3 linked regions of the Elephas maximus indicus genome follow. The protein of the gene in region 3 purifies or fractionates together with the protein of the main gene of each other region. This does not show direct contact. Links are inferred from orthologs where the notes say so. Each region holds a gene or a part of one and is shown on either strand. Other genes may lie near its edges.

Region 1 (7,309 bases), on a different chromosome or scaffold from region 3:
ATCAGGGAAAGTCTCTCAGATTGGCATCTGTGCCAAGATACAAATGGTGAGCACAAGGGCAACTGTTGGAAAATCAGAAGGAAAAGCACTTTCTGGTAGAGGGAACAGCAAGAGCAAAGGCCTGAGATGGTAAAGAGATTGTGTCTGAGGTGAAGTGGAGCTAGACAGGAGTGGAATGGATAAATAGGAGAGAAGTGGATGAGGATAGAAAGATAAGCTTGGCCAGGCCAAGGCCCCGGGTTAAGAACGTCTGACTTGGACGACTCGTACTTCAGAACTAACTACCATATAAGCCTACCCGTTGCCATTAAGTCGATTCCGACTCATAGTGACCCTATAGAACAGAGTAGAACTGCCCCAGAGGGTTTCCAAGAAGCGCCTGGTGGATTTGAACTGCTGAGCAGCCGTAGCTCTAAGCCACTACGCCACCAGGGTTTCCAACATAAAGTATTAAAATTTAAGTTAAATACAGGCACTCCCCCGGGTTAATTTTTTTTTTTTTTTTGCTCTTTAATGTTATGTAAATTTGCCCTCACTTTGAAATCATTGAACCAAGCCCTACTCCCAACAAATTCTTCATCACAATCACCTTCACTTGCTGCAGGTGCAGCTTTTAAATCATTGAAAAGGTTTTGAGCCTTTTCTTCCATTCAAGTAAGGCTAAATAAGAACTGTGTGCACCTGTTCTGATTTACCTACAAATTCTTAAAGCCTCACTTAGGAACGGATCTTGTTTGTAACCCGGGGACTGCCTGTACAATGGTTCATAACAAGCAACACACGCACTACTTTGTGGTGCTCGGGAAAACGTTTTGCAGCGTCAGCGGTTTGTCAACTTGAGGAAGAAGAACCCGTCTGCCATTTTACGCTGGACCACGTTGCTGTTAACACTGTGTCGAGTGTGTAATTTTGGCTTACATTTTCCCCTCATTTACCCTTGTAACCATGCCTCCAAAGCGTAAATCCAATGCTAGTGCTGGTGATTCAAGGAAAAGGAGAACGATCACGATTGAAAATAAAATGGAAATAATAAAGCGATCAGAAAGGGGAGAAATGCCATCGGTCATTGGAAAAGCGTTAGGCTACCGTCGGTCAACAGTTGGAACAATTATAAAGAATACAGTGAGAATAATGGAATACGTGAAAGGCTGTGCCCCGATGAAAGCAACAATTATCACTAAGCAACACAGCGGTTTAATTATTGAAATGGAAAGGCTATTGATAATTTGGTTAGAGGATCAAAATCAACGTAATATGCCTATTAGCCTTACTTTAGTGCAAGAAAAGGCTCGTAGTCTTTTCAGTGATTTAAAAGCTACACGTGCAGCAAGTGAAGGCGATTGTGAAGAAGAATTTCTTGCGAGTAGGGGTTGGTTCAATCGTTTCAAAGGAAGGGCAAATTTACATAATATCAAAGTGCAAGGTGAAGCAGCGAGTGCAGATATAAGTGCTGTGAGTGACCTTCCTGAAAAGATGGAAAACATTATTGAGGATGAAGGTTATTTGCCAGACCAAATATTTAATGTAAACAAGATGATAGCATTTAAAGAAGACCAGGACCTAAAAACTTCAGAAATGAAAAAATTTTTGACGTAAGAGTTAGCTGAAGCCTTTCGTCTCATTGAAGCAGGGATGGCAAAGTTAGAGGAGCAAGACCCTAATACAGAAAGGTTCACCAAAGTTTACCGTACAGTTAATGAGGGCCTTAGCTGCTACAAGGCCATTTATGACAAGAAAAAGAAACACTCTATACAAACCTGTCTTGATGCCTACTTCAAGAAATTGACTCCAGTAGTAAACCGCTCAGCTCCAGCAGCACAATCAAACCCTGACTCTCCAGCACCAGGCCCTTCATCTCAATAGTAGCCACCTCTCCATCATCTTTTCCTCCATCGTCCAAGATATCAATGGAACGAGAGTGTGTTAACCTTTAATCATGACCTTTTTTCTATCTAAACTGTTTTAAGACCTGTTTCTTTACAATTTTTTTTTACAGTACTGTATACTGTTTTTCAGTTTTTTTTTTTAACTTTATACCTACACACATACACACAGATCTCTCTTCAGTCCAGTACCATATGTAGTTACTTTTATTATTACTGCATTATTATGTGCTGTGTTATTAAGATGTTTTAGTGTATTTGAGAGTGTTTCTTGAGTGTTTTATATGCATAGAGAGGTAAAACATATGCTATATACTGTTGTAGGGCAAAAAAAAAATCACAAAGTTTAGTAAAGCAAAAAAAGTTTTAGTTGGCATATATTCAAAAAGGCAAAAGTCGGAAAACGGACAAGAATGCTGCCAGAACCACGTCTGCCCGAGTCCAAAGAGTATTACCGAATAAGCAAGAGTGGGGAAAACAGACAAGCGTGCTGCTAGACTCATGTCTGCCTGAGTCTGAGGAATATTACAGAATAAGCAAAAGTGGGAAACCGGACAAGCATGCTGCTAGAGCCGCGGAAGAGTACAGAGTCATCAGTATATATTAACATCACAAAGAGGCAAAAACCACTGAAAGCTTCACCTTTTCGCAGATAGGCTAGAAACTGTGATCTCATATTTGGAGCATCTTTCTTAATAATCATCGCTACAGACTTCATTAACAACGGTCAAAACCGGGGGGAAAAAACCCCCAAACTCATTGCCATCGAGTTGATTCTGACACATGGAGGCCCTACAGGACAGAATAGAACTGCCCCGTAGGGTTTCCAAGGAGTGGCTGGTGGATTTGAACTGCTGACGTTTTGGTTAGGGGCTGTAGCTTTTAACCTCGAAGCCACCAGGGTTTCTATTGGTCCAACAAATTTTCTATTCACTAAATGCTAATAGAAAAGGATAAGAATGGAAACTCTTGTGTTCTGTTTTTTGGCATATGTAAAAGGTTCTCTAAAGATATTTTCCAAGATTATCCTAGCTATTGTCTTTATACCTCCTGGCCCATTTGATGTGTCCTTGTGAGTCCTTGTGAACCCAGCTCCAGCTGGGTCACATTCTCTATGCTCAGGGAATGGTGATTCCAATATTATTTTCTAAATCAATACTAAGACAAACATTTGACTAAAAAAAACCAAAACACTAAACCCAGTGCCGTTGAGTTGATTTCAACTCATAGCGACCTTATAGGACAGAGTAGAACTGCCCCATAGGGCTTCCAAGGAGTGGCTGGTGGATTCGAACTGCTGACCTTTCGGTAGCTGAACGCTTAACCACTGTGCCGCCAGGACACTAAGTAAGAACCGTATGTTCCCGTTCCGACTTATGTACAAATCCGACTTAAAGAAGATAGGCTTAGGAACGGATCTCATCTGTAACCCATGGACTGCCATGATAAGGAGTCTAGATTTTTTCCGAAGTGCAACGAAATGCCACTGGAGAGTTTTAAGCTGGGATGTGACAGAGTCACTTTTTCCTGTAAGTCTGGAATGCTGCAAGAACTTCCTACACTCTCAGAATACAGTCTGACTGTAAAAGCCTTAGTCTCGGGGTGGTGCAAATATTAATGTGCCTCAAAAGAAAGGCCTGGCAATCTATTTCCAAAGGTCATAGCCATGAAAACCCTACGGAGCTGAGTTCTATTTTGACACACATGGGGTCACTTTGAGTCGTGACTGATGACAGCAACCAATTTTACCAGTAGGAGCCCTTCCCCTCTCCCACTCTGTGTTCCAGGCATACTAAACTTTCACTTCCTCAAACCATGCACTTTTTGCCTCTGGCTCTTCCTTCTGCCAGAAAGATTCCCATTCTAGCTGCATGCTATTCTTGGCTTAAAGATCACTGCCGTCTTTAACCTTTTTCCTGAACTCCAGATTGGGACAGGCATTTCCTCAGAGCTCTCAAGGCCTCCTATACTTCACCCATCCCAGGTCTGATCATTGTCTGATCTTCCTTTGCCTGGGGCGCCAAGAGGGTAGGGGCCAAGCATGTCCTGTTCACAGCAGAAAACCATGGTACAGGGCCTGACACCTAAAAAATTAGTATTTATCCTAGTTGCGGGCGGGGGGCGGGGCTGGTAAGGCACTTGGCCTTTGTGACCCCTCTCCAGATGCAAACTGAGCCTCAACTAAGACAAGGACAACCTCCGCGCTAGTCTGCAGTCCCTGTGCGCATGCGCCATTGCTCAGCATTCCCCCACCCCCGTTATGCTAATCACTGCGCTCCAGAGTACGCTTTCTCCCGGGAATATGCAAATCACTCCTTCCAGCCCTTCCATTGTCCCGCACTAGGATTATGCAAATAAGAATGCCTCAGGTCCAGGATCCAGATCGAACTGACGACCCCCCCATTACATTTTTATAAAGCTCCTTCCTGCTCCTCACACACGCTCCTGCCGCTTCTAGCTCTACCCGCAGACTATACCAAGAGAACCTGGCCAGTGAGGGCGAAGCCCGGTACCCCCTGAGCAGGCCTCTCCAACAGCCAGATCCGGATAGACCCTCTTCTCACAGTGCGACAGGAATGGTCCATTTCGTAGCGCAAGCGCCCTAGGCCCTTCACGCCCCTTGCGCTCCCTCCTACCCCATTTGCAGCGCAGGCGCAGAGCCTGGGCGTGCAGCCGCCGCCGCCGCCGAGCCCGAGCGGGGGCCACCAGCGCCGGTGAGTGTCCGGGGCAGGGGTGCGCGGGGCATGCCGGGAAGCGGGCGCTATGGCCCCTTTGCATGATGGGAATGACAGCTCCAGTCACTGAGCAGCCGTCAGTGGTCTTGGGCTGTGATGGCTAGAGAGAGAGACCCAGGTTCCTTTTTCTCTCCCTCAGTGGCTCGGTGCCGCCCTGGGGCATCCTGGGAAAACAGGGCTCCCAAGCCTGTATAGCATTGTGGTCTGCTAGTCGTTATTGGCCTGGTGCCTTCTGGGAAGGATTATCCTAGTTCCTTGTGGGGAATTTTTTTAATACACCATCCCCCCCAGCATCTTGGAAGGTGGTCATTATAGGCCTGAGGCATCTTGGGAAGAATTGCTTAAGGGCATTTTGGGAACTGGTCCTTATTGTCTTGTATATAAGATTTTGCTCTGGCCTCCTTGCCTTAGTTTTGTGGGGATGAGTGTCTGTTGTGTTCATGTTCACGTGGGGGATCTTGCGAGTTGTTTGCTGTAGACTCGGGTTATTGGGGGTCTCGGGCAGTTTGGCTTATGGTATTAAAATAGATTGATTTGGGCCCAAGAACCCTGGTGGAGTAGTGGTTAAAGTGCTACGGCTGCTAACCAAAGGGTCGGCAGTTCAAATCCGCCAGGCGCTCCTTGGAAACCCTATGGGGCAGTTCTACTCTGTCCTGTAGGGTCGCTATGAGTTGGAATCGACTCGAGGGCACTGGATTTGGTTTTTTTTTTTTTAAGATCGCGAGAGCCAGTCTGTCCGCCATAGGTATTGTAGGAGAGGCCTCAGGCACCAAGAGATGCCTCCCCCAGAGTTGTGGCATTTTCCAGGAGGGACCTTGTATGATGTGGGCTTAAAGAAGGGTAGGCCAAACTGATGGGCATTACCCCCTGGCAGCCTCATGGGAAGTCCTGATTGTCGCCTGTGTACAGTGGCCTGATGAAATATAGGTCAGTTCAATTTGAAATTCAGATGAACAACAAATAATGTCTTTGAAAATTATGCCCCACGTATTGTACGTGACATAGTTATCTTAATCGTTTGTTGTTCATCTGAAATTCATACGTAAATGGGTTCCCTCTGTTTTTATTTGCTAAATCTGGCAACCCTATCATGAAGTAAAGTAGAATTCCCAGGTTAGATGAGGCTTTCCAGGCAGTAGAGTATCATGAGAACTCTCCTGTCCTTAAAATCCCAGATGCAGGTGTCTTCTTTAGGAAGCTTCCCTGCCAGTGATGCCAGCCTCAGCTCCAGACTTCAGTCTGGATTTTTCTCTCATTAGTCCTCAGTATTAAACTTGACCTCCAGGCTTGAGGGGACCATGAATTTTTCATCATCGTATCCCTACCACCCAGCACAGGCCCTGGCATATAAGGAGGGCAGCTGAGACTGCCTGCCCTTTTGCTGACTGGCTCCACATGGCTCTCCACTTCAGGGAGTACCCAAAACCAAACCAAACCCTTTGCCATCAAGTGAATTCTGACTCATAGCCACCCTATAGGACAGAGTAGAGCTGCCCTGTAGGGTTTCCAAGGCTGTAATCTTTACGGAAACAGAGTGCCACATCTTTCTCCTGCGGAGTGACTGGTGGGTTCAAACCACCGACCTTCTGGTTAGCAGCCAAGCACTTAGCCACTGCACCACCAGGGCTCCTTTCAGGGGGTATAGTGGGAAACAAAAGTGTGAGTGTGTGTAGGGAGTATTGGTGAGGAGGGAGAGAAAGGAAAGGAGTCAGGGAAGGCTTCTTGAAAGAGGCAGTATTTGGGTTGGGAAGAAATACAGAGGTTGTCTATGTTTGAGGCGGGCTTTGAAGGGCAAGTGGGAGTTCTTCAGGCAGACAAGGGGAAAGGAGGACATTCAAGACAACAACAGATGTGGAAGGGCTTGGCGTGTGCACGGAGAGGTGAGAAGTCTGGAGTGGCTGGAGTTTATAGAGGGTAGGGGTGGGAATAGCAACAGCTACTGTTCGTGGAGTACCTACCACATACTGGCAATTTGTATTTATGAACTTACTGAATCTTCAAAAAATCTTTTCAAGGGAGAGATCATTTTATGAAAGGTAGGATGACATGGTTTCAAATTGTAGTTCAGTAGCTACCAGATGGTGTGACTTGGGCCAGTTGTTTATTTTTTCTGTGCCTCAGTGTTCATTCCTGTCCAAGGGGGTAATAATCTTTCTTAACATGGTTATAGGGAAAACATGAATTGAGCCCTGGCAGCCTCTTTCCTATAGAGAAAGAAACAGGTTAGAGGAGTTAAGTCCTCTGCTTGAAACCACACAGCTAGAGAGTGGCAGATTTAGGATGCAAACCTAGACACCACCGTGCCAAGGTTTAAACTGATATAGAACTAGGGCTAACAATTCACAGACCGGTGCAGCATATCCTTTGTTTAAATACTGAAATACTTCCTGACTGACTGGTATATCACCATTAAACCAATTCCTACCTCAGCTGCCACTATGGGCTCTCTCCCACCCCTAAACTGCTCCACTGTTTGGCAACTTAAGGGTTAATGGCTGGCACAGGGCCCTGCTCCATTCTTGGTTCTGACTGGAGCCTCTGCCAATACCTGTGGCTAACTATTTGGAATGTGAATAAGAACCACAGACAGTCCTGTTGCCCAGATGAGGAAATTAAGGCCTACAGAGAATCAGGTTCAGGTAAGCTCGGCCAAGGCCTTATAGGCAGCTGGGGACAGAACTACAACCATCT
Region 2 (7,891 bases), on a different chromosome or scaffold from region 3:
TTTTGAATCTACAAGGCGCTCCTTAGAAACTGTATGGGGCAGTTCTACTCTGTTCTGTAGGGTCACTATGAGTTGAAATCGACTCCACAGCAAAGGGTTATTTTGGTTTTTGGTAGGAAAAATTGTCCAAAGCATGGAAATAAGGCAAATGAATGATTGCATGGCCTTTTTATGTCATGCCCAACAGGCTCACCTAAGGATTGATTGGGAGTTTGACTTATTATTTCTTAACGATGTGGGCTTTCACACCATGAAGTTACATGTCTTGTAGATTTTTGTCCAGCAGAGATGCGAATGACTTCTATCAGATAGAAAAGATTACCCTAAAGGTTACAGTTTTATTTCACTGTAGAATGTTAACCACTTTTTTTATCTAACCTAGCAATCTGATTCCAGTGTTCCTTCTTCTAGTGATTAGATATACTCCGTCTTAGGAATTCTCTTTGACCTAGCTTTAGCTTCCTCTTGATTCCCTTATTAATGAGATAAATAAATCTTTGATAACTGTTCACTTTATATTTGTGTGACAGTCATGTTCTTAACTTTCTGAAAATTATACTTTGACATTATTGGAAACCCAACGGAAACCCTGGTGTTGTAGAGGCTAAGAGCTATGGCTGCTAGCCAAAAGATAGGCAGTTCAAATCCACCAGGTGCTCCTTGGAAACCCTATGGGGCAGTTCTACTCTGTCCTATAGGGTCGCTGTGAGTTGGAATCGACTCAACAGCAACTTTTTTTTTTTTGGGAAACCCAATACTAGAGCTTGATACACTCACACATGGAAAGAATACCCTTTTCCTTATACTCATTTAATAACTAACTTACCATTTTAGCTACACATTATTCTGCGTTATTATAAATTAGAGAGAAATAGAAACTAATTTGGAGTCCCTGGGTGTTATAAACGGTTAAGCACTGGATTAGTAGCCAAAAGACTAGAGGTTCAAACCTTCTCAGGGGCACCTCAGAAGACAGGCTTCAGAAAGGTCACAGCCTTGAAAACTGTATAGAGCAGTTCTACTCTGCACACATGGGGTCACAATGAGTCAGAATGCACTCGTCGGCAACTAGCAACAGCAGAGTAATTTGTTTTGTTTTTAGTATTTATAAAATAGATATGTTAATTATGTTGTTGTTAGGTGCCCTGGAGTCAGTTCCAACTCAAAGCAACCCTGTGTACACTGCCCGGTCCTGTGTCATCCTCACAATCATTGCTATGCTTGAGCGCATTGTTGCAGCCACTCTGTCAATCCATCTTGTTGAGGGTCTTTCTCTTCTTTGCTGACCCTCTACTGTCCCAAGCATGATGTCCTTCTCTAGGGATGGTCCCTCCTCATAACATATCCAAAATACATGAGTTGAAGTCTCGCCATCCTTGCTTCTAAGGAGCATTCTGACCGCACTTCTAAGATAGATTGGTTTGTTCTTCTGGCAGTCCATGGTACATTCAATATTCTTTGTCAACACCATAATTCAAAGGCATCAATTCTTCTTTTTCTTCCTTATTCATTGTCCAATATTCACATGCATATAAGGCAACTGAAAATACCATGGCTTAGGTCAGATACACCTTACTTCTCAAAGTGACATCTTTGCTTTTTAATACGTTCAAGAAGTCTTTTGTAGCAGATTTGCCCAGTGCAATACATCATTTGATTTCTTGACTGCTGCTTCCATAGGCGTTAATTCTGGATCCAAGTAAAGTGAAATCCTTGACAGCTTCAATATTTTCTCCATTTATCATGATACTGCTTATTCGTCCGGATATGAGGATTTATGTTTTAAGTTGAAGTGTAATCCATACTGAAGGCTGTAGTCTTTGATCTTCATCAGTTAGTGCTTCGAGTCCCCTTCACTTTCAGCAAGCATTTTAAAACCTATTTTACAGGAAATCTTTCTTAATTTATTTCTCAGTTTTTATGATATTCCTTGAAACATATACTAATAACGCTACAATCTATATTGAAAAACTAAGTCTGGCTCTTCTCCACAGAAAGTAAGTGTGATTTTGGCTGATTCATTTGACAATGGGGACTGACTTTGGCCATTTCATTCTATGTAGGCTTCAAGTATGCGCAGAGGTGTGGCATTGTTTTTCTTTAACATGCTAAGAAAATGACAAAATTTGACCTGTGTTTATATTTTGGGCTCCTCCTCCCAAAAGAGTATCAGGCTGTCACTTCTGGTGGCAGTATAGTTCACCTGCCTTCACACACTCCCTGAGTTGGGCCCTTAGAATCTTAAGGTAGGTTGCTGTAACATTCAACTAGGTTGTTAATTATATGCTAAACAAGAGCCTTAAATACAGGTTTGTTTGAAAATCTATAAAGGCCTAGTTTTAGTACATGATTTTGAGAGCATTGTCTCTTTCTTTGATTACTTTCAAGTTTAAGGTAATATTCTGATTGTAAAAAAGACAAAGAGTTCAATAATTGTGAGCCTATTTGCATTGTTCATCTTGAACTATTTATGTATTCTGTAACTGCTGCTTTGCTTATATAATTTCAGTTCTAAATAACAGCGGAGAATTTTTTTTGTCTTTTGTTGTTATTGTTTAACTGGCAGAGAAAACATCAATAAAAATGATGCGAAGTTTTTGCCCTGTCACAATCTAAGTTTTGGCTTCCAGGAGTTGTCTTATGGTAGAGGTTGGCTTAGATAGGTCTTTGGGATAATCAACACATTCAAACGCTTCAGGAAAGAACCAAGTAAAGCAACTCTTCCAATTTAGGCCTGCAGGTGCAATGAACCTTGTTTCTGAAAGTAATATTCATAGCAGCATCTTCAAAGGCTCCAAAGAAGCTTCTCGAAGAAAGGGAACCCAGCGCTCCTTGGGCTCAGGTGATTGAGAGACCCTGCTCTGCTCTGCTGAAGAGGTACCTACTGAGGTGGTCACACACTCTGCAACCACGTACTGACCTAAGAGGACTTCCTTTTGCAGGGAAAAAGCATGAAACACCAAAAAGACAGTGCTCTTGTACAAATTGACATTTCATTGAAAAGTCATCCTAGAGACAGCTGATCTTTGCCAGCTGAATAAATAATAAACTGGTATCTTGTTTACCAGTTTTTGGTCTCTAACCAGTTATTTAAATAGAAATTATGTGATGTGAGTGTCAAAGGAAAATACCTTCCAGGAAATGGCTTTAGGAGTAACAGCAACAACAATAATAGAGGGTTGCAAGTTATTTAAGTAATGCTGATCTAACGGCAACATTCATATTATAATCATTAGGAACTTTCTTAATACAGACTTAAGAGAAGACGAACAGCACACCATCTTTGCACATACTGAATTTCACAAAAGAACTTCACATTAAAGACCACAATCTCACTAATTCTTAACAGGTAAAAAACTTGATGTTCAGAGAAAAGAACCTCTCATGTCTACATTTAACATTTAGTTTGCAAAGCTTTTTTTAAAAATTGCATTTTTATTAACAAGGCTGAAGACTTTTGTTTTACTTGCTTATTGGACATTCATGTTTCTTTTTTTGTAAATTATCTGTGTCTTTGGGCCACATTTCTAGTAGAACGTTCAACTTTTTCTTTTTTACAAAGAGCTTTTTCATGAGAGGGGTTTATTACAGAAGTGAGCCTAGGAGAACGGGGTTTGACATCCACTTATTAGTTGATCATCCCAAAAATGTTGAGCATCTACTTATCTGTGCCAGGAAATGAGAAAGTAAGCAAAACTAGCGACACGCAATCCCTCCCGCAAAAAGCTTATAGTGTCCTTGGGCAAGTTCGCTCCATGTCGCCCCATGGAGGCGGCCTTCATTTGGGCAGTCTGAGTCCGGAGGGACAAAATGAGTTACAATTTTAAAAACTTTATGGAGAAAGCTGGAAACCCTGGCGGCTTAGAGGTTAAGTGCTATAGCTGTTAACAGAAGGGTCGCAGTTCAAATCCACCAGGCGCTCCTTGGAAACTCTATGGGGCGGTTCTACCCTGTCCCTTAGGGTCACTATGAGTCAGAATCAACTCGACAGCACTGGGTTTGGTTTGGTTTACGTGGAAAGTTTTTCTTTTTTCCTTTCTTTTTTTTAAACAAAGTTATCATATCAGATCAGATTTAATGAATCATTTTGCTAAAAAAAAAAAAACCGAAAGTCAGAAAATTCCCTAAAACACTTCCAGTGATTTGATTATTCGAAATAAAAAATCACCGTAAAATTGAAGACTGTAGGATCTTAAGACTGGAGATACCGACACAGAGATTAAATAAATCCTTGTTTATTCAAAGGTAAACTTGGCTTAGACAAAGTAGGGCAAGAAGGCTGGCCTAAGGATTTTTGTCTTCTTGTAATTAACAGGATCCACCCAAGCATATGCAAAGAACTTAAAACACGGAGTTTCCTATTGCAACCCCATTGCCTTGGTACGAAGGCACTTCAGGGTCAATGGGCCTATTAATTTTAAAGATCAGACAAAAGACAGAAACAAAACAAAGAAACAAAGGCTCGCGGGAGCGGTCTGTGGCTGCACCCAAGACCAGGCTCGGGTCCCTCGAATCCGGGTGGGGGACGCCGAGGCGAACGGCCGCCGCCAGCACCCCGGCCCAGCCCTGCCAACCCCGCAACCCGCTCCGCACAGCCGCCCAGGCCCCGCCCCCCTCATCCTGCGCGCGCCCGGCCCTCTCCCGGAGATGGGGCCCCGCGCGCGGAAGGCGGGGGCGGGGCGAGCGGACGCGCAGGCACTTCCGGTTGCGCGGCGGCAGATGCTGCACACGCCGGCTCTCTCTCGGCATTGGGGCGCCACGCGATCCGCCAGCTGATTGGCCCGCGCGGGGCGGCGGTAAACTCGCTTCCCCCTCACCCGCCAGCCCCGCCCCGCCCCCGGCTCCGCCCCTACACCCGCGGCCGCGCGCACGCTCGTGCGCCCGAAGCCCGGCTCTCTGCGTCTCGCGTCGCCATTCGGGAAAGCAGCCGCGCGCCGCAGGGGCCCCGCGGAGGAGCCTGGGCCGCCGCGAGACCCCGGCCCGGAGAAGCCGGCCCTCCCCGCCGTCCATCCCCCCTTGTCTCCCTTCGCCCTACGTGGTCGCCGCCCGCGGGCCCGACCGGTGAGAAACGTGAGCGGGACCGCTGAGGAGAGGCGGGAGGCGGGGGAGGGGCGGCCCTGGGGGCGGGGACGCGCGGCTGGAGGCGTCGTTCCGGCGGGCCCGCGCTAGGCCCGAGGGTCCCGGCCGCCGCCGCCGCCCCGGGCCGAGTCTGCCAGGGGAGGCTGTCGGCTTTTCCTGAGGAGAGGGCCCGGGGGAGGGTCAGCTCGCGCGGTCGTGCCCCCGCCCGTCCGGAGCCCAGCCAGGGGCCCGTCTGGGAGAAGCCGGTGATGCCGACCCAGCTTTGGGGCCCGGGGACCGGCCTGTCTTCGGTCCGAGCAGGCACTGCTTAGGGACGTCACCGAGGAGTGCAGGGACCTGGCCTTGGGTTCTGGCAAGGTCGAGCTTCTGGAAAGCCGGGCGTTTTGCAGAGCACTTCTGGAATGCTGGGGGTGTCAGTTGCATCGGAGACTGGAAACATTTTCTTAAAACCCGTTGGGAAGTTGGGGCCTGGCACAGGACGCAAGGCATTCTTTCTGTTTTAGCTCTCGGTGCCATCTTCTCTGCCTCTAGTCTGTCTCAGCTTCTGTTATTGTTTAAAAATCGGCTAGGGATGAAGAACAATACTGCAGGTAGTCCCCACTTCCGACGTCTTCGGGTTACCACAACCGCACTTAGGACCGCCTGTTTTGCTTTTTGCACATCTTATTGTTAGTAATGGAAACCCCGGTGGCGTAGTGGTTAAGTGCTACGGCTGCTGACCACAAGGTTGGCAGTTCAGATCCACCAGGCACTCCTTGGAAACCCTGTGGGGCAGTTCTACTCTGTCCTGTAGGGTCGCTAAGAGTCGGAATCCACTCTACAGCAACGGGCTTTTGTTGTTGTTAGTAATGTGTGCTATATGCAGTATCAGAGCATGTAATTTGCTGATATTCTCAGATATTCACTCCACTTGCAGATGTTCAAAGATAGGATTTATAAAGATACTGATAATAAAAGACAATAATAACACTATCTGTAGTGTGTATAGAGATTCATAGTACCCAATTAGCTCGAGATATACTCCATATATTGAAATTTCATTTTAAAAAGATGTATGTTAAAATGCATTTTAAAAGATGATTGATGATGATAGATTTCAAGAAGGAAATTGGATGAGAAAAGAGAAATAGGTGTGATACCACATGGCATAGTACTGCGTTGAAAAATACTGGATGACGAAATGACAAAGCGCCACTGATTTCAAATTTGTGTTTTTTAGAGACAAATTGTTCTGTAGAGGAGAAAAGTAGAATGGAGAAATTAAAAAAATTTTTTTTTAATCAGTCTGAACAATGTAGAGTTTTTTTTTTTTTTAATAGTTTCTGTCAAGTTTTAAGAGCTCTGAGATTTAGGGGGAAAAATTGCTAGAATCTTTAAACTGGGAGGAACTGTAGATATCTAACCTATGCCTGAACTCACTGAACAGCATCCCTGTGGGTGATCAGCTGCTGTGAAAAGATAGTGTGGTGTGTTAATATAGAACCAATAAGGAAACCAGGATCTCCTGTTGCTTCCTCTGACCTAATTGTGTGATCTTTGACCAGTTGCTTCTTTCCCTCAGCTTCGATTTTCTCAATTGTAAAATGAAGAGGTTGGACTCAGGTCCTCTGAGGATCCTTTCAGTCCTATAGTGATCATCGACTTCCAGTTAAGGGGAGCTTCTACCTGATAAGGCAACTTCTTCTAGTCCATGATGGAGTAATTTGTAAAACTCTTTTATGTTTGAGCTGAAATCGCTTTTTCTGCTGGCTTCCACTTGCTGTTTCTAGGACAGCTTACGTATTCTCAATAATTCTTACCCCTTTGAAGGTAAATATGTCTAGTTCTCATAAATGACATAAGACTACCTGGCATCCTGGTTGCTTTCTTTGAGTATTCCCCAGTTTGTTAGAGGCTCTTTTAAAGTGTTCTTCCTACCCAGAGCTGGACGCAATGATCCAGTGGGATACCCTGTCCAGTGCAGAATATGGGGTGCTGTTCTCTGTGGTCCTGTATTTCTGCAGTTGATATTTGGACTTTAAATGCTTGATACTTTTCACCTTGTTGGTTTTGGTCCATCTACTGGCTTTTTAAGATCTTGCCAAATTCCACAGTATTAGTTTGATCGTGATATAACTAGACAGAATGGGGGTAGATGGCAAAACTTTATTCTAGTCCTTCATCAGATGCTGGTTATTTACCTTTCTTTGGGTAAGTCTGGAGCCCTGGTGGCACAGTGGTTAAATGCTACAGCTGCTAACCAAAACGTCAGCAGTTTGAATCTACCAGCTGCTCCTTGGAAATCCTACTCTGTGCTGTAGGGCTGCTATGAGTTGGAATCAACTCGACAGCATTGGGGTTTTTTTGGGTAAGTTATTTAATGTTTAGACTTGCATTTCAGTAGATCATCCCTGAGGCTTTCTCCTGCCCTAAAGCCCCATGATTCCAAGGCTAGATGGTAGCTTAAGCCGCTTCCAGTTTTAAAATCCCGTCAATCTCTGATTGGGTTCCCAGTCTTAGAGTGAACAGATATTTCCTGAACACCTACTGTGTGCCAGGGATGTGCAGCGGTTACAGAGGTGAATAAATAGGTAGTCCCTGCCCTCCCAAGAGCTCACCACCTAACGTGGATCAGGTTATAGTGCCATAGGATAGTTGCTGTAATGGAGGTGTGTATACAGAAGGGGGATCCAAGGATGACTGAGAGGCAGTGGGAAACTGGGAAATACTTGAGGAGAAATACTGCCTGAAGGATGAGTACAGATTTGTCTAGTGGTTGAGTGGCACGATGGGGAACGTAAAGGAGAAGAAATAGCTTATGCAGAAGTATGGA
Region 3 (7,085 bases):
GATTTCCCCAATCTTGCACCAAGTATGCTGATTTAGCATTTAGTTTGGAGCAAACATTTGTGTATAGCCTACAGTGCACCAACATTCCCAGATACACAAGGAAAAATATTAAAATTTTATCATCCTTTAGGGAGGCAATAAAGGACCAAATTCGTTGGCTACTTGGAAAAGAAGTTAGTTTTTATTTTGGAAAAATTAACAGGTGTATGGTCTTGAATGGACGTAACCAATTTTGGGGGCCACGTTATTTCATCCTTGACTGGAACACAATCATGTATGTGGCATCTATGGCTCTTAGAATTGGGGATCCCTGCTGAGTCTATTCACAATGGTTTCAGAGCAGTTTTCAAAATAATAATCATCTGGATAAGCATTCATGCATGACTCTCCAGAACTCAGAGGGTTTGAGGGTAAAAATGGCTTTTAAAAGTTCTTCAGTATTTGTCATAAAGCTACTTGGCTGAATGTCTCTTGAGGAAGAGCGAGTGCCATTTCTATGTCTGTGTTCCAATAACAGTTGTTGCTGCCACTGGGCCTCACCATCTGGCCTAAAGTTCCTTCTTGATTGGGTACAGGCCTTGAATGGGATGTGGGGGACACACCCCAAATTTCCCTGGTAAGTCTTGGCAAGTTAATTGAGGAATATTTTCTTTGGAAAATCCATTTTTCCCACAAAAATTTAGATATTGGTTTTGAAGCCAATTCTTTTTTCATTAAAAAAAAAATTTTTTTTTCCTCTTTATGTATTTATTTGCCGGCCCAGACAAACTTGACTAGAAAAGAAGCCCGGGCATGGGATAGGATGAGCTCATGACGTGGCAGGAGCTCCAACCAATTGAAAGACCACGAAAGGGGGCGGGCGGAAGTGACGAGACGTATCCCTCCGCGGGGCGAGAGGGTCGGTGGGGGGAGTCTGCGTTTCTCTCCCCCGCGCCAGCTCCCGTACACGGAGCCGCATTCCTTGGCCCCCCCACCCCCTCCCTCGGGGCCCCCCGCCCCCCCTTGGGAAAAAAATCCACCTCAATTCATTTGAATCCGAGGGAGATTTCTTTACACCCGCGGGGAGACGAGTTTTCAACGGTTCCTTCTTCTTCGTCTCCCCCCAAAGCCCCGTCCCCTCCCCTGCTCCCACCCCCTTCTCCCGGCGTCGGGTGCAAGGTCCCTTTAAGGCGACGGCGCCTTCCTCGGGTCAGAGTACCGGCGGCGACGACCACGGGAGGTGAGTGAGCGAGCGAGCCTTCTCTCTCCCCACCCCTTTCTCCCGGGGGTTCCGTTATCTTTTCGCTTGGTTAGGCGTTCCGAGGCGAGACAATGAGCGGGGGATGGGGCGGGTACGCGAGGGGGTGGGGGCGGGGGGGCCGGTGGCGCGCGCCCCCGCACATCGCGAGTGGCGGCGCGGCCCGCGGCAGTGGCGGGCGTGGGGTGCGGCGCGCGCGCGCGTGTATGTCTGTGTGTGCGTGCGCCCCCGGAGCGGTGCAGCGGCCGGGTGGTGGAGGCTTCTGCCTGCCTGCCGGCCGCCCCCGCCCCCCGGCGCGCGCGCGCACTCGCGTCCCACGGCTCCACACACATCCCGACGTCCACACGCACGGCGGGCGCGAGGCGTCTCGGAGGAGTGGGCGGGCGCGGGCGCGTGCAGCGGCCCGCTGGGGAAGGGGCGGGGGTGCGGGCGGCGGCGAGACGGCTGGGTGTTGGCGAGGGGGCGAGGCCGCGCCGGGGAGGAGGGCGGGCGGCGCTGCGGCGGGAGGGGCAGCGGGGTAGCGTTCCCCTTGGGGGTGGGCGTTCGTTCCTGGTCCTTTCCCGCCCCTGCTCTCTCTTGAGGAAGGAGAGGGGTGGACTTGGAGAGAAAGAGGAGGAAAAAGAGCGATTGCTGAGACGAACCCGTGTGTTATGCAATGACTACTCCTGTCTAATAGTACATCCCAACCCTTAGTACGTTCCAGTTAGTTTACAGAGTCCCCTCCCTCGGACTCAAAATGTCTTTAGGGATGGCGCCGTGATTTATAAAATGAGATGGGGCGGAGAATCGTTATATTCTGATAATTATATCCTGCCGCCGTGGGCGCCATGTTTAACTCAGGGACTATTTTCTCTGGATTGTTAGCACCGACTGAAAAGGGCTGGCGTCGTTATCCACCTGCTTTCCATCTTTTTTGCTTGCTGTCCTGATTTTCCTCTCCCGCCAGTCGCGGGATTTCTTCAGACCGCTAATGAAGCTAAAAGTTTCTTTGCTTGCTTGTCTCGGGCGTTCTTAGCTCAAAAAAGGTAGAGCTGAAAAGGGCTTTGTAAATCGTTTAGCCCAATCTCTTTTTTGAGATTGAAATTGAGATACAGTTGTAGTATTTCATAACAGCTTTCTTGTGGCAGACCGAGGCCCGGCCCTCTACACTCTTTGAGACACTCCTCTCCGCATCTGAAAATCCCACAGAAATGGGGTTTTACTTTTAAAGGAGTTTTCCCAAGTAGTTGAAGGAGGAACGGTGGGGGCGAGAAGGGCAGTTTCTTGGTGAATGACAATTTCGTGATTCGATGGGCTTAGGACTGGGAAATTGGATTCTGAATTCGAACTGCTTAAGCAGAGCCGTTCTTCAGGGTGCATAAAAAGTAAATGGGAGGTTGCTAAACATGCAATTTTGGGGGCTTCATTTCCAAAGACTATTTGGGTGGAATGGAGCCGGAGTGTCATTTTTCCTGCCTTTTTAACCTGCAGCCCCTGAGATGACTCTGCTTAAGGTACCTGCCACATAGAGAATTATTGGTCTAGTATAAAGTTGCTCAAAATACAGTTAAAACAGAATGAAATGGCAATCTATGCCCTTGGCTTCCCTCCCCTTTCCTGACCTATGTTGGTGGTGTATCCCAAACTGAGAAACTAACAATGTGATTCTTGAGATCAACAGGACTTGCAAGAGTTTCAACCTTTTCCTTGAACCAGTGTATAACCTAGGAAAAGCAGTTTTCAAAAGGTGGTCTGCTCACCCCTGGGGATCCCAGACCATTTCAGGGAAGCCAGGAAGTCAAAACTTTTCAAAATAGTTTATTTATTTATGTTTTTCGTTCACATTTGCGCTGATGGTCCAAAAACAGTGTTGGGTAAAAGTACTGGTGATGCTGTAGCACAAAGCAAGGCAGTGGCACCAGACTCTACTGGACTTGAGAATGTTCTTTATGAAACAGTAAGCATTATTGATTTTATTAATTCTCAACCCCTGAGTGCAGTCTTTTTAAGGATCTGTCATGAAACGGAAGGTACGTATAAAGCACTTACGCTGCTTACCAACGAACAATTGCAGAGGAAAAGCACTTGTGAGATTGAGTTGTGAGCTGAACCAGCTGCTTGTTTCATGGAACAGCATTTTTATTTGAAAGGACAATTGACAAACTAGTTTTTCAGACTTGATTATTTGCTGGAAAATGAATGAAGTGAGCAGCATGTCACTTTAGAAAAACAGTTGACAGTATTTGCTAACCAATGATAAAATTCCAGTGAAAAGTGGAATTTTAAAAAACTTGACAGCTTGAATTTTGACAGCTTCCCAGTGCTTAAAAGAATTTAATGGTAGTATCAGTGATTAGGGACTGTGATTTTTTTTTTCAACTATTGTGTAATGAAATATGCCAACATTTGAAAGATCAAGATTAACATAACTCAGTCTGTTTCCCAGATGACCAGTGCATAATGCTATAAAATCGCACGTGGGTTAAAAAAAAAAAAAGATCATTTAAAACGGCAAGATGGACTGGTAGATTTTAATGTAACGGTATGAAAGGTTGATTGATAAGGTTTCAGATGGTGCAGTGTATACCTTAAGCTACCATTTGTTGAGTTTTCCTATTAAAGAATGTCCACAGCTATATGAACAGATTATTAAAATAATGCTTTTTCCTACTACAAATTTGTATGAGGCAAGATTTTTTTGTACTTAACCAAGACTACATATGGCGGCAGACTGAATGCGGAAGGAGATGCGAGAATCCAACTGCCTTCTGTTGAGCTATAAACAGAGGTGATCTGCGAAAGTGTAAAACAATGTTATTTTTCTTACTAATTTTTTTTGAAAATAGTAATTTTTAATGAAAATGTTTTTTATGGTAACGTGTAATAGGTTTATTCGTTTTGAATGAATTGGTATTAAAATTTTTTTTTTAGTATGGTAAATATTGGAAAATATAATCCCAAAAAATAAAAGCTCACTGGGGTCCTCAGTAATTTTAAGAGTGTAGAGTGGTCCTGACACCAAAACATTTTAGAATCGCCGATATAAGGGGTAACTTTTGGGCCTGTTTTATGTTTCTGTTTTTTAGATCACCCAAATCTGCCTCCATTTAGGAATTTCTGAAGATTTTACAGATGTTACTTGGAGTTAATACTGGAAGAGGCAGTGACTTGGGGAAAAGTGTAGGCTCTAGGGTGAGAAAACTTGGTTTGAATCCTGGTTGGGATTCTAACCCAGGGTGGTGGGGAGGGCGGGGGCAGTAGTGGTTCGGTGGTAGGAGTCTCTCCTTAGGGCAGGAGACCCGGATTTGATTCTGGCCTGTACACCCATGCTCAGCCACCACCCGTCTGTCAGTGGAGGATTGTGTATTGCTGTGATGCTGAACAGGTTTCAGTGGAGCTTTCAGACTAAGACAAACTAGGAAGAAAGGCCTGGCAGTCTACATCTGAAAATCAGCTAGTGAAAACCCTGTGGATTACAACAAGTCCAGTCCACAACTGATCATGGGAATGGCACAGGATCGGGCAGCATTTTGTTCTGTTGTGCATGCGGTTGCCATAAGTTGAGTTTACTCGACAGTAGCTAACTACAGTCTTGGGCAAGTTACTGAATCTGCTAAACCTCAGTTTTGATCTCATCTGTAAAATAGAGCACTTAAGGCATACTGTTGTTAGGAGAATTTACTGAGATGAGGAATGTGTGAAGTGCTCTACAGTGCCTAGCATATCAAACAGTAAAATAAATTTCAACAGTGTGTTTCCATTTTTATTCTCCGTATTTGCCCTTTTTAATTAATTTTCGTTGAAGGTAGAAATTCCTGATATAAAATTAAAAACCCTAGTTTGGTGCCTCTGTCATATTATCAAGCTGTCTGTCGTAAGATTTGATAGATTCGTTGATATTCTGGTTTGTGATGGTAAGCCATATCCACAAGAATATATATCTTACATGTAACTAAGGGGAGGAGAGAAGGGAGAGAGATTAACCTATTGCTAGGACTTAACAGTTAAATTGAGCGAGTAGACATGGAACTTAGCGTACAACTGTCAGTAGAGAAAAACTTTGTATGATAGGCAATGTTTTTGGGAGAGAGACTATAAAATGGGGAATTTACTGATGCTTTAGTTGCTCTTTTAATAAAGAGCACGTAACTAATATTTGGTTGCTTTTATTTAAAAAAATTTTTAAAGTTTCTGTTGTGAAATACATGTAACAAAACATTGGCCAATTCAACCATTTGTTCTTCAGTTCAGCCATTTTTGCATGTACAATTCAGTGACATGGATTACATTGACCACGTTGTGCAACCATTAATACTTTCTCCACATTTTTCATCACCGTTAACAGAAAACTCAATATTCTTTAAGCAGTACCTCCCATTTTCTCCTCCCACCTGCCCCTGGTAACGACTGATAAACTTTGGTCTTTATGCATTTGCCTGTTCTAGATATTTCATGTAAGTGAAATCATACAATATTTGGCCTTTTGTGTCTGACTTGTTTTGCTCAGCATAATGTTTTCAAGGTTCATCCATGTCTTAGCATGTGTCAGAACTGCATTTTTCTTTATGGCCCAATAATATTCCATTGTATGTGTATACCACATTTTATTTATTCATTCCCTCTGTTGATGAACACTTGGGTTGTTGCCACCTTTCGGCTATTGTGAGTAATGCTTCAGTGAACATTGGTGTACAAGTATCTGTTTTTGATTCCCTGCTTTACAAATCTTTTGGCTGTATATCCCAGAAATCACCCAGTGCCATCGAGTCGATTCCAACTCATTGCGACCCTATAGGACAGAGTAGAACTGCCCCACAGAGTTTCCAGGGAGCGCCTGGCAGATTCGAACTGCCAACCCTTTGGTTAGCAGCCAAAGCACTTAACCGCTATGCCACCAGGGTTTCCGTGGCTGTATATATAGGTGTGGAATTGCTGCATCGTATGGAGATTCTATGTGTAACTTTTTAAGACCGTTCATGCTGTTTTCCACAGTGGCTGGACCGTTCTACAGCCCCACCAATAGTGAATGAGGATTCCAGTTTCTCCACATCCTCACCACACTGGATATTTCTGTTTTTCTGATAATAGCCATCCTAGTGGGTATGAAGTGGTATCTCATTGTAGTTTTGATTTGCATTTCCCTAATGACTAATGGAAGGAGCCCTGGTGGTGCAGCGGTTGGAGCGTTCGGCTGCTAACCAAAAGGTCTACCCTCCAGCCACTCCACAGGAAGAAGATGTGGCAGTCTACTTCCGTGAAGATTATAGCTTCAGAATCCCTATGTGGCAGTTCTGCTCTGTCCTATAGAATTGCTGTGAGTCAAAATCGACTTGACAGCATTGGGTTAATGACTAATGGGAGTCCCTGGGTGGTGCAAACGGAAAGGTTGGCGATGTCCCCATAGAGGTGCCCCACAAGAAAGGTCTAGTGATCTGCTTCTGAAAAATCATGCATGGGAAACCGTATGGAGCACAGTTCTACTTTGACACACATGGTGTCACCATGAGTCAGGATTGACTTGAAGGCAGCTGTTCTTCAATGATTAATAATGTTGAGCATCTTTTTATGGGCTTGTTGGCCATTTGTATGTCTTCTTTGGTGAAATGTCTATTCAAATACCTTGCCATTTCTCAATTCGATTTGCCTTTTCGTTGTTGAGTTCTAGTTATTTGTATATTATCGGATATATGGTTTCCAAATATTTTCTCCCATTCTGTAGGTTGTCTCTTTGTTGATAAATTCCTTTGATGCCCAAAAGTTTTTAATTTTGATGAAGCCCAGTTTATTTTTTCTTTTGTCATTGTGCTTTCTGTGTCGTATTTAAGAATCCACTGTCAAAAACTAGATCCTGAAGCATTACTGTCGTGTT

The links.
Region 1: the proteins of POGZ (region 3) and ZNF428 purify together in Homo sapiens (affinity purification with mass spectrometry; 3 studies listed by BioGRID and IntAct, counting the BioPlex papers as one, with this or other methods). This does not show direct contact. The link is inferred for Elephas maximus indicus from reciprocal best matches to the Homo sapiens genes POGZ and ZNF428.
Region 2: the proteins of POGZ (region 3) and CHAMP1 purify together in Homo sapiens (affinity purification with mass spectrometry; 4 studies listed by BioGRID and IntAct, with this or other methods). This does not show direct contact. The link is inferred for Elephas maximus indicus from reciprocal best matches to the Homo sapiens genes POGZ and CHAMP1.

Annotation. Positions count from the first base shown.
Region 1 is NC_064829.1:106,885,781-106,893,089, forward strand, and holds the start of ZNF428 (zinc finger protein 428), read left to right. Parts: upstream 1-4,210; 5' UTR 4,211-4,597; intron 4,598-7,309.
Region 2 is NC_064835.1:75,769,992-75,777,882, forward strand, and holds the start of CHAMP1 (chromosome alignment-maintaining phosphoprotein 1), read left to right. Parts: upstream 1-4,878; 5' UTR 4,879-5,061; intron 5,062-7,891. UniProt on the Homo sapiens protein: Required for proper alignment of chromosomes at metaphase and their accurate segregation during mitosis. Involved in the maintenance of spindle microtubules attachment to the kinetochore during sister chromatid biorientation.
Region 3 is NC_064821.1:185,499,426-185,506,510, reverse strand, and holds the start of POGZ (pogo transposable element with ZNF domain), read left to right. Parts: upstream 1-4,025; 5' UTR 4,026-7,085. UniProt on the Homo sapiens protein: Plays a role in mitotic cell cycle progression and is involved in kinetochore assembly and mitotic sister chromatid cohesion.